3 linked regions of the Macaca fascicularis genome follow. The protein of the gene in region 1 purifies or fractionates together with the protein of each later gene. This does not show direct contact. Links are inferred from orthologs where the notes say so. Each region holds a gene or a part of one and is shown on either strand. Other genes may lie near its edges.

Region 1 (3,595 bases):
CCCTCCAAATGGAAACATGAAGTTAGAATTTTTCACTCCCTGGTGTGCCAGGTGAGGGGCTCAGTGTCTCAGGCCACAGCCTTATCTATGTACCACATGTCCGCAGCAATGATCATGTCTAGTGTGTACTGTGTCATGAGAAAGACAGGCCAGCTGGTGTAGAGGAGGGTCCAGGAGAAGGCCCCATGGAAGAACCCTGGGTGAGACAGGGAGGGGACAGCAGGCAGATGGGAGGTGCCCACTGAGGGGCAGAGAGGAGGGTGAGGGTCTCTCAGGACCCACCCTTGACTGTTCTCCCTGGCCCCTCAGATCAAGAAGGCCTTCTTTGCTCTGGTGGCCAACGGTGTGCGGGCAGCCCCTCTATGGGACAGCAAGAAGCAGAGCTTTGTGGGTGAGAAGAGGCTGGGGAGGTGAAGGGAGATGGAGAAGGGGAGGTGGGGACCTCATACGGTTGTTCTGGGGCCAATCTCTGATATAGCACAAGCTTGGCTTCAGGCCAAGCCCAGCCAGGGGCCAGGGTGGGGGAAAGTCCGTCCCGAGTCTGCGTGGCCAGCTGGGAGACCCTGGGGCTCAATTTCTCCATCTGTGGAGCCGCTGTGACCAGCTGACACCTTCCAGCTCTGCTACTGCATGGCCCCATGCCGTAGGTGCTAGGGAGCAAATGCGGGGAGGCAGGAGAGAAAGAGCCCCACTTCTCAGGCCTGGGGGGCTGTCCCACTGTCCTCTTCCCACAGTCCCCACTGTGTCTCAGTGCAAGGAAACTGGCAGGGTGGGGAGGGGATCTGATCCTCAACCTGCTTCCCACCCAAAGGCCCCAAGCTGACCTCCTCCCCGCCCCTCCCCTGCAGGGATGCTGACCATCACTGACTTCATCCTGGTGCTGCATCGCTACTACAGGTCCCCCCTGGTGAGGAGTGGGCTGGGAATCTTATGAGCACCCAGAGGGGCGGGGGCGGAGGGAAGTCCTCCTGGAGCCTGGTGCCCTAGAAGCCCATGTCTGTCTGACTTCTGGAGTCCTGTTGATATCTCTAGGTCCAGATCTATGAGATTGAACAACATAAGATTGAGACCTGGAGGGGTGAGTGGGGAGAGGAACCCGGAAAGGGGCTGTTGGTGAGGGTGGGCCAGGGCCTAAGGCGGAGGATGGGCAGGGGGGATGTCCTGGAGCGAACAGGGGAGGGACAATAGGAGCCCCGGGTGCCTGAAAGAAGGGAAGCTGCCTGGGATTGCAAGGCGAGGCAGGTGACCAGCTCCCCTGGCCTGACTCTGGCTCTTTCTGCAGAGATCTACCTGCAAGGCTGCTTCAAGCCTCTGGTCTCCATCTCTCCTAATGACAGGTGGGTGTCCCTGCTCATTCACCTGTGCCTCCTCCTCCCACAGTCCCCTTCCTCAGTCCCACTCAGCTCTGAACTCACCTCTTCATCCTAGGCGACACACGGACAAGGGAGCCTTGGTGCTCTGCCCTCCTTTTTAGGGGGCTGGGATGGCGGGTGTCTCTCCCCAGGCTGCCTCGAGGCTCACTGCTCCCATCTCTGCAGCCTGTTTGAAGCTGTCTACACCCTCATCAAGAACCGGATCCATCGCCTGCCTGTTCTGGACCCGGTGTCAGGCAACGTACTCCACATCCTCACGCACAAACGCCTGCTCAAGTTCCTGCACATCTTTGTGAGCCTGGGCCCAGGTGGGAGGAAGCGGGAGAAGGGTGATCAGAGGGCCTGAGGAGTCTTCAGCCCTAGGAATCGGAGGGAGGAGCTGGGAGCCCTCTTGAAGCTGCTGGATCCCTGATCTCCACCGGGTCCCCTTCCTAACCAGGGTTCCCTGCTGCCCCGGCCCTCCTTCCTCTACCGCACTATCCAAGATTTGGGCATCGGCACATTCCGAGACTTGGCTGTGGTGCTGGAGACAGCACCCATCCTGACTGCACTGGACATCTTTGTGGACCGGCGTGTGTCTGCACTGCCTGTGGTCAACGAATGTGGTACCCAGCACAGGATGAGAGGCTTGGGCTGGGCTGGGGCCTGGGAGAACCTGGCAGGGGAGAATATGGGAAGGGCAGGGGTTCCCATGCCATCCCTGTGGGGGGTACAGGATGGACTATGGATTAGAAGTCTCCATCTGCTCTGAGACTTGGGCCGGTTGCTTAGCCTCTCTGTGCCTCAGTTTCCTCCTTTGTGAAATGGGATTCTTCACAACACTCATCTTTCTGACTTCACAGGAGGATTTAAAAGGTTATATGCACGAAAATGAGCATAGTGACAGGAAGCAGCAGATTTTAGTTTTAGTTCATCTTAAAATGGAGCCAGGCACGTGGTGCACGGCTGTAATGCCAGCACTTTGAAAGAGGCCAGAGCGAGAAGGTAGCTTGAGGCCAGAAGTTTGAGTTTACATACAGTGACACTTCAGGCTGGGCAACAGAGCAAGACCCTGTCTCTAAAATAATAACGAAATAATAAAATTTAAAAAGTAAAATGTGCCATGGGACCTCGGGCCCCTAGCCAGACCTCAGTTTCCTACACTGAAAAAGGGCTAGAGGGACGACAAGATTATTTCTTTGGTTGAATGATGGCTATGAAATATTTCAAAGCTAAAATCACCATAATTAAGATAGATATCAAGAACTGTTTTCAATTTATTTTTGATTATATAAAACTTCAAACATATGAAAATGGTACAAAGAAACTGCATAATGAACCACCTATATCCATTGCCTAGATTAACTACTGTTACTGTATTGCCATAAACAGTTCATCTCTTCTCTGAAGTAATTCAAAGTAAATTACAGACATCATGTCATCTCACCCCTAAACATTTTAGTCTGCACCTCTTAAAACAAGTGTATTTTTGGCCAGGGGCGGTGGCTCACGCCTGTAATCCCAGCATTTTGGGAGGCCAAGGTGGGCGGATCACAAGGTCAAGAGATCGAGACTATCCTGGCCAATGTGGTGAAACCCTGTCTGTACTAAAACTACAAAAAAAATTAGCTGGGTGTGGGGGTGCACACCTCTAGACCCAGCTACTTGTGAGGCTGAGGCAGGAGAATCGCTTGAACCTGGGAAGCGGAGGTTGCAGTGAGCCAAGATCACGCCACTGCACTCCAGCCTGTTAACAGAGCAAGACTCCAAAAAAAAAAAAAATGCATTTTATACCACCAAACAAAACCATGAATAATTCATATTATTGTCTGGTATCCAATCCTTATTCTCACTGCTCCATTTCCTCAAGAATGTTGGGCTTTTTTGTTGTTGTTTTGAGATGGAGTCTCGCTTTGTCACTCAGGCTGGAGTGCAGTGGCACCATCTCGGCTCACTGCAACCTCTGCCTCCCAGGATCAAGCAATTCTTGTGCCTCAGCCTCCTGAGTAGCTGCGATTACAGGCAACCCCCACCACGCCCAGCTAATTTTTGGGGGGTGGTATTTTTAGTAGAGATGAGGTTTCACCATATAGGCCAGGCCGGTCTCCAACTCCTGACCTCAAGTGATCCACCTGTCTTGGCCTCCCAAAGTGCTGAGATTACAGGCATGAGCCACCACGACCGGCTAAGATTTTTTTTTTTTTTTTTTTTTTTTTTTAGACAGAGTCTTGCTCTGTCGCCTG
Region 2 (3,652 bases), on another chromosome or scaffold:
TTAATTTTTCCTCTAAGTAAATAGTAATCCTTTTCTAACTACTAGATATGTTTGCATTATTCAAGTTTCCAGTGTCTTACCTACTTTTTAAACACCCTAGGTTTTAAACTTTCCATTTCTTCCACCTGGGAAAAAAATTAATGTACTCTCTTCTAACAACTTTAATATAATGTTGACTTGTAGTCCTTAACCCTCATTCACATATAAATGTGGTTAAGAATAAGCCTTATTTTTCTTTCTTTTCATTAGAATTAACTATGACACTATAGACTGACAGAATCTAGGATAAAAAGACAATTTCAAATGTATTGAGGGTGGTGGGGTATCAAATACTACCTTCCTGAAATTACTTCTGGTGCAGCATAGTTGGGTGAGCCACAACTTGTTCTTAAAAATTCACCATCTGACATCATGTTTGAAAGACCTGAAAGTGCACAAAATCAGCTACTCAAAAGATTTCCCAAAGACAAAAATTAAAACCCCATTAAACAGTAAAATTGAGTTTGCATTAAAAATGACAAATCATCATTTTGTTATTTGCTTCAACAAAATCCTATGGTCTATTGTAGCCAAATATTCTGCCATTATGCCCTAAAATGTGTAATCTATTTCAACATTTAAAGTTAGTGCACTGTTAGAGTTTAATGCAAATATTAAGCTGTTGGTTATTTTGCTTATTAGAAAAAACTTGGCATGTTTAAGTTTTATTAATACAGAAATTACTAGGGAAAATAATCTATAACAGATGAATAGAAGGATTAAAATTCAAAGTTCCTATTAATCCTGTTCTGATTCTTTAAAAAAATTTTTTTAAAAAAAGCCAGTAATTTTGAATTTCAAAGTTCCCTCGTAGTTTTACTCCAAAAAGAAACCGTTGCTCCCCCAAAAATGCACCCTATAAAAATAATCAACTGAGGAATAAGAAATTCAAATAATTAAGCCAATTACTATTAAAAAAAGAAAAGAAAAAAGAAAGAAACACCAAAACAACCAGCTCAGGTTTGGTTGGCATTTTTCAGTTAATATCTAAACATTTAAGTAGATACAGGTGTAAATATAGATATACAGATGTAGTCAAAACTAAGGAAAATATTTATAAGAATGTTCTCTGGGCCAGACATGGTGGCTCACACCTGTAATCCCAGCACTTTGGGAGACCAAGACAGGCAGATCACTTGGGCTCAGGAGTTCGAGTCCACCTGGCCAACATAATGAAGCCCCATCTCTACCAAAAATACAAAAAAAAAAAAAAATGTAGCTGGGTGTGGTGGCACGCATCTGTGGTCCCAGCTACTTGGGAGGCTAAGGTGGGAGAATCACTTGAGCCTGGAAGGCGGAGGCTGAAGTGAGCAGAGATCACACCACTGCACTCCAGCCTGGGTGACAGAGTGAGACTCTGTCTCAAAACAAAAAACAAACAAAAAAAATTTATCTGATTTGAACTAAAACCAACCTAAAGAAAAGAAGTGCAGAGATTCCTTTTTCACTTAGGTTTAGTAAGGTCAATGGCAATTTATATAGGAAATACAGAAAAAACTAACTTTTTTTTTTTTTTTTTTTTTGAGACCATGTCACACTCTGTCGCCCAGGCTGGAGTACAGTGGCACACTCTCGACTCACTGCAACCTCCACCTCCTGGGTTCCAGCAGTTCTTCTGCCTCAGCCTCCCAGGTAGCTGGGACTATAGGCGCGCACCACCATGCCTGGGTAATTTTGTATTTTTAGTAGAAACGGGGTTTCACCATGTTGGCCAGGCTGGTCTCAAACTCCTGACCTCAGGTGATCCGCCCGCCTTGGCCTCCCAAAATGCTGGGATTACAAGCGTGAGCCATCATGCCCAGTCAAAATAAATTCATTTTTAACAATCAAAATGTTCTTTAAACAAATTATAATTTACTATCATTTAAAACATTTTAAAATAATTTTTAAATAAATTTTTTTAATTAAAAAATTGTTTTAAATAACTTTAAATAATTATAATTCACATAGTTCACTTCTGGCTTTCAAAGTTTTAAATAATTTCATCCCACTCACTTTCCTTCTTCTCCATACTTGATTCTTTTGAACATACTGGAAATAAAGCTGCTACCTTCTCTTCACAAATAATACTCTCTTTTTGAATAGTCTCTCTAATGCTACCAACTTAAGTTGTTTAAAATTTAATTTTAAAGATATTTAAAGAGCCAGGTGCAGTGGTGCATGCCTGTAATCCCCATACTTTGGGAAGCTGTGGCAGGAGGATCACTTGAGGCCAGGAGTTCGAGAGAAGCCTGGACAACATAGTGAGAACCCATCTCTACAAAAATACAAAAGTTAGCCTTGCATGGTAGTGCAGACCTGCAGTCCCAGCTACTCAGGAGGCTGAGGCAGGAGGGTCGCCTGGCCCAGCAGTTTGGGGCTACATTGAGCTATGATCACGTCACTGCCCTCCAGTCTGGGCAACAAAGCGAAACTCTGTCTCTATAAAATAATAGTAATAGTAATAAAGGCATTTAAACCTAAGAAAAGATGATTTCTTAGCTTTTCTTATTTTTGCATGTTCATAGACAAAATAGAATACTTTGACATACTCAGTCTATTACTTTATGTCATCGTTTACAGTTTTCTGAAGAATTCTATATAGGTTCATTGAAACTATAAGAACATTAGAAATGAACGTAAGAAACTATAAAATTATCCTTACCAAAATCGGCTATCTTTGCATTCATGTGTGCATCAAGCAGGACATTTTCAGGTTTCAAATCTCTATGGACTACCATATGCCTGTGACAATAATCCACACCAGAAAGGATCTGTTGGAATAGACGTCGACTTTCTTTTTCATCCAGCTAAGAAAAGTAGAGAGGCATTTTAAAGGTGTGTCTTTCAAAGTAAATTGTCCTATATATAATTCTCCAACATATAAAATTGTCAAAATACATGAAAATCTTCCAAATGAACTTATGAGATACTTTTGACAGGAGGAGGAGATACCTGTAGCACAAAACAGAAATGCTAAGATGGTCTTGGAACCCAAATCAGTAACTCAAGTTTCTAATATTATCATTTGCATATGACTACATTGTAACAGCTTGCCTTCTCATGAGTTATTTCAAATAATTTCAATATCTACTTGAAATGTGGCATATTTTCTTTTATAAGCCGGAAATGTTTAATTTTTCATTCTTATAACAAATATTTACTAAATACCTTCAATGTGCTATACATTGTTTTAGACATTCATTACACAGCAATGAATAAAACAAAGACCCTAATCTAGTTGATGAAAATAGACTAATAAATATAGTCTGAAGGAGTGATACTGTTTTGAAGAAAAACAAAGCAAAATATGGGTACAGTGAGTGACAGTGGGGTGGGGGATACTATTTTAGACCATGAGGAAGTAATATTTAAGCACTATTCATAAACCAGCACGCAACTATGTTGCTATATGTCCCAAAATATAAGATATTGTAACAAGAAATACCTTAATTAATTTAATAAAATATCATAGCATTTTATGTTTAATATGCTTGCTGGAAAAAAAAATCTTATGTAGCAACTACCTTTTTGTTTTTGTTTTTGTTTGTTTTGGGTTTTTAAATTTATATTTTGAGACCCAGTCTCATTCTGTTATCAAGGCTGGAGTTCAGTAGTGCCATCACGGCTCACT
Region 3 (3,652 bases), on another chromosome or scaffold:
AAATTAATCAGTGAATAGAAGACATTCAGTCAAAATATGTCTTCATCTGAACTTACGGGATGCCCAATTCTACCAGGTAGTAATGCCTGAACAATCTCGAAGGAGTAGTTTGTGTTAGATGAAAATAGTTTGATATTCTAGGATAACAATAGTAACATCAAGCGCAAAGGCCCAGAAGTGTGGGAAAATAAGGCTTAGGAGAGCAGTTCTCAAAATTTTTGATTTTAAAATCTTGTAACTCTTAAAACTTATTGAGGACCTCAAGGGGAATTTTTAAAAATGCAGGTTATATCTATCAATATTTACTGTATTAGAATTAAAACTGAGAAATTAAGAAAATATTTAATTTACTTAAAAATAACTATAAACCTACTACATGTTAAATAATACATCTTTCATGAAAAATCACCATATTTTCCAAAAAAAATTGTGAGAAGAATGACTTTATATCAAAGACAGCTAGGTTCTCATACCTTCTTCATTCAATCTGTTGCATTATTTTGTATTAGTTGAAGTGTATAAAGAAGGTCTGACCTCACTCAGATAAGTGGTTGGGAAAGAAAAAAAGTGTATTTATTATTATTAACACCAACTTTATCAGAAAGTCTTTAAGTATTGAGAAGCTGTGAAACTCATACAAATCATACAAAAGTTTTGCTTGAAAGCTTGAATTTTATCATTAGCAACAAATATTGCTGGTTGTTTTCCTTAAAGCGATGGGCTCGCTTTTTTCATTTTTGAGAAAATGTCGGCCAAATGCCAAGTCTTAATAACCATAGTTATTCAAGGGTAGTGGGTAATTAACTTGCTTAGGATCACATAGCTAGTAAGTGGCAGAGCTAGGTCTAGAGACCAGATCTTTTGATTATATTCTATTATGTTGCCCTATGTCTAAATTATTTGGACTTGCCAAAGCGTGTCTTACAATAGTGTATTGTGGTGTTTTTCCTAGAGAGCATGAATGGTTTAAACAAGATTTGCCCAGTTACTTATTTCCTGAAGACCCTTCCTATGATGCTAACGTCATTGATGATGAGGCTGTGAAAGAAGTGTGTGAAAAATTTGAATGTACAGAATCAGAAGTAATGAACAGTTTATATAGTGGTGACCCTCAAGACCAGCTTGCAGTGGCTTATCATCTTATCATTGACAATCGGAGAATAATGAACCAAGCCAGTGAGTTCTACCTCGCCTCTAGTCCTCCGTCTGGTTCTTTTATGGATGATAGTGCCATGCATATTCCCCCAGGCCTGAAGCCTCATCCAGAAAGGATGCCACCTCTTATAGCAGACAGCCCCAAGGCAAGATGTCCATTGGATGCACTGAATACGACTAAGCCCAAATCTTTAGCCGTGAAAAAAGCCAAGTGGCATCTTGGAATCCGAAGTCAGAGCAAACCATATGACATTATGGCTGAAGTTTACCGAGCTATGAAGCAGCTGGATTTTGAATGGAAGGTAGGAAATTATAATGTAATAAGATCATTTGTAGAAGTCATTTTTCTATATTGTAAGCTGCTCTGAGCTCCTGAGTTGAGTATTAAGCCCATCTTTTTCTAGTAATATGCCATGCACATTAAAAACAAAACAAATAACCTCTGTAAGGATGAAAAGTGGTTGATACTGGGAACCAACATATTTTGAATTATAGCAGTGTTCTTGGTCAAGAAAAAAAGGAATCAACTAGAAACCTTCTGAGAAAATAGCTTACCAGTTTCAGCATACATCATAGCAATGAAAAATCATGAGTGTCTTCAAAGATAGTATGTTTTTACTTTCTCTTTTTTTTAGGGAGGTTTTTTTTTTCTTTTCTTTTTAGGGAACAGAGGCAGGTGGTTGTAATAGCTAGTGGTCAGTACAAATTATATCAGGACATATTTATTCAGTCAATTAACACTTTTCTCCAAGTTGTGATATTCTCTCTTATTTGGCTAGTGCTTTTAATACTTATAGTATATTTTCCTTACTCTCACGCCACAGTTTGCTTTTCTTAAAAATTAGTGCTCAATTTCATTTCAGTTCTATTTGAATATATGTGTGGGGAGGGGCATTTTTTTCTTCGGATATGCCTTTCACTCTTGTTCTTTTCTTGAGGATTGTGAACTTTTAAAGGAAGAAGAAAAATGTGCAAAATTACCACATAAATATGCATTTGACATGTTCAAATAAATCAGTCATTTTCATTTTATTATCTGTACATGAAATAAATATTTTCTTAAAATCATTTAAAAAACAGATCTCTTTGTTTTGAAGCAGTCGTATTTAGTTAAAAAAGAAATGTTAACATTTTTAAAATTCTGTACTGAAACATTTTTGAAACTAGTACCACAGATGTTTTGAAAATCCAGAACCTTCAATGCAGTGTTTTTTTGTTTGTTTGTTTTGTTGTTGTTGTTTGTTTGTTTTTTTGAGACAGAGTCTCACTCTATTGCCCAGGCTGGAGTGCAGTGGTGCAGTCTTGGCTCACTGCAACCCAGGGTCAGGCTATCCTCTCACCTCAGCTTCCCTCGTAGCTGGGACTACAGGCGCCTGCCACCACACTCAGCTGATTTTTTTGGTATGCTTTTGTAGAGATGGGGTTTTACCATGTTGCCCAGGCCGGTCTCAAGCTCCTGGGCTCAGGCAGTCCACCCACTTTTGCCTCCCAAAGTGTTGGAATTACAGGCATAAGCCACCATGCCTGGTCCTCTTTGTTCCTTCTACTCCACAAGCATCCATGAACATGGTTCAAGCAGAGACTGGGCAACCAAATTATAATTGATGTTTTAGAGTTGATGCTTATCTAGAGTGAAAGCTAGACCCGATGTAATCTCTGGGTTCTCTTTTTCTTTTATATTTCACTTTTTTCTTCAGTACCCCAAATTTATTCAAGTAGCTTTTCCTTTAAATCTTAATTGCCATACAATACTGCTAGTGGGGATTAAATAAATACTAAAGTAAACTACCAGTAATATAAAAAAATTATTCAGATATTCCTTTCCTATCTCACCCCTATTAATTACTTATTTTGACCTTTTTTTGCATAAAAAGGGAGATATTTTGTAGTTGATTATTTTTATTGATTTTTCACTTTAGGTAGTGAATGCATACCATCTTCGTGTAAGAAGAAAAAATCCAGTGACTGGCAATTACGTGAAAATGAGCTTACAACTTTACCTGGTTGATAACAGGAGCTATCTTTTGGACTTTAAAAGCATTGATGGTAAGGAAGCTATGCATTGCATGAGCTCTGAGAAGATAAAACTTGGCACTAGTTGACCAGATGTTAAAATCATCTCGAAGACATCCGGTGGGTAGGTCATGCACTGGTTTTTAAGTAATCTTAGACTTAACCAAAATGTAAGTGAAGTGAAAAGGATGAAAGACATGTTGAATACCTCTTACCTGGCATCTTTCCACAAGAAGTATCTCCGTGGCATAAAAGAATCATTTGAAGTATTGGCCATGGAGCACAAGTAAGGAACAATAGGGAAGTAGGTTTCACTTTTTAAAATTAACTGATTTGTCAGATTCTTTGTCACATTTCTCCATTCATATTTTATTAGTTAGTATTGTAGTGTCTAAACTTTCCCCTTCATCACCTTTCCTCATCCTGGGTGGCCAGGGTGACCAAATAGGTCTCCATTGGGATTTGGGTTGGATTTAGGTACTCA

The links.
Region 2: the proteins of PRKAG3 (region 1) and PRKAA1 purify together in Homo sapiens (affinity purification with mass spectrometry; 3 studies listed by BioGRID and IntAct, counting the BioPlex papers as one, with this or other methods). This does not show direct contact. The link is inferred for Macaca fascicularis from reciprocal best matches to the Homo sapiens genes PRKAG3 and PRKAA1.
Region 3: the proteins of PRKAG3 (region 1) and PRKAA2 purify together in Homo sapiens (affinity purification with mass spectrometry; 3 studies listed by BioGRID and IntAct, counting the BioPlex papers as one, with this or other methods). This does not show direct contact. The link is inferred for Macaca fascicularis from reciprocal best matches to the Homo sapiens genes PRKAG3 and PRKAA2.

Annotation. Positions count from the first base shown.
Region 1 is NC_088386.1:114,757,886-114,761,480, reverse strand, and holds part of PRKAG3 (5'-AMP-activated protein kinase subunit gamma-3), read left to right. Parts: intron 1-309; coding exon 310-391; intron 392-848; coding exon 849-907; intron 908-1,032; coding exon 1,033-1,078; intron 1,079-1,282; coding exon 1,283-1,337; intron 1,338-1,428; coding exon of another isoform or gene 1,429-1,474; exon of another isoform or gene 1,475-1,538; coding exon 1,539-1,665; intron 1,666-1,812; coding exon 1,813-1,978; intron 1,979-3,595. UniProt on the Homo sapiens protein: AMP/ATP-binding subunit of AMP-activated protein kinase (AMPK), an energy sensor protein kinase that plays a key role in regulating cellular energy metabolism.
Region 2 is NC_088380.1:41,067,927-41,071,578, forward strand, and holds part of PRKAA1 (5'-AMP-activated protein kinase catalytic subunit alpha-1), read right to left. Parts: intron 2,829-3,652; coding exon 2,684-2,828; intron 425-2,683; coding exon 337-424; intron 1-336. UniProt on the Homo sapiens protein: Catalytic subunit of AMP-activated protein kinase (AMPK), an energy sensor protein kinase that plays a key role in regulating cellular energy metabolism.
Region 3 is NC_088375.1:177,974,814-177,978,465, reverse strand, and holds part of PRKAA2 (5'-AMP-activated protein kinase catalytic subunit alpha-2), read left to right. Parts: intron 1-952; coding exon 953-1,457; intron 1,458-3,074; coding exon 3,075-3,201; coding exon of another isoform or gene 3,202-3,257; exon of another isoform or gene 3,258-3,292; intron 3,293-3,652. UniProt on the Homo sapiens protein: Catalytic subunit of AMP-activated protein kinase (AMPK), an energy sensor protein kinase that plays a key role in regulating cellular energy metabolism.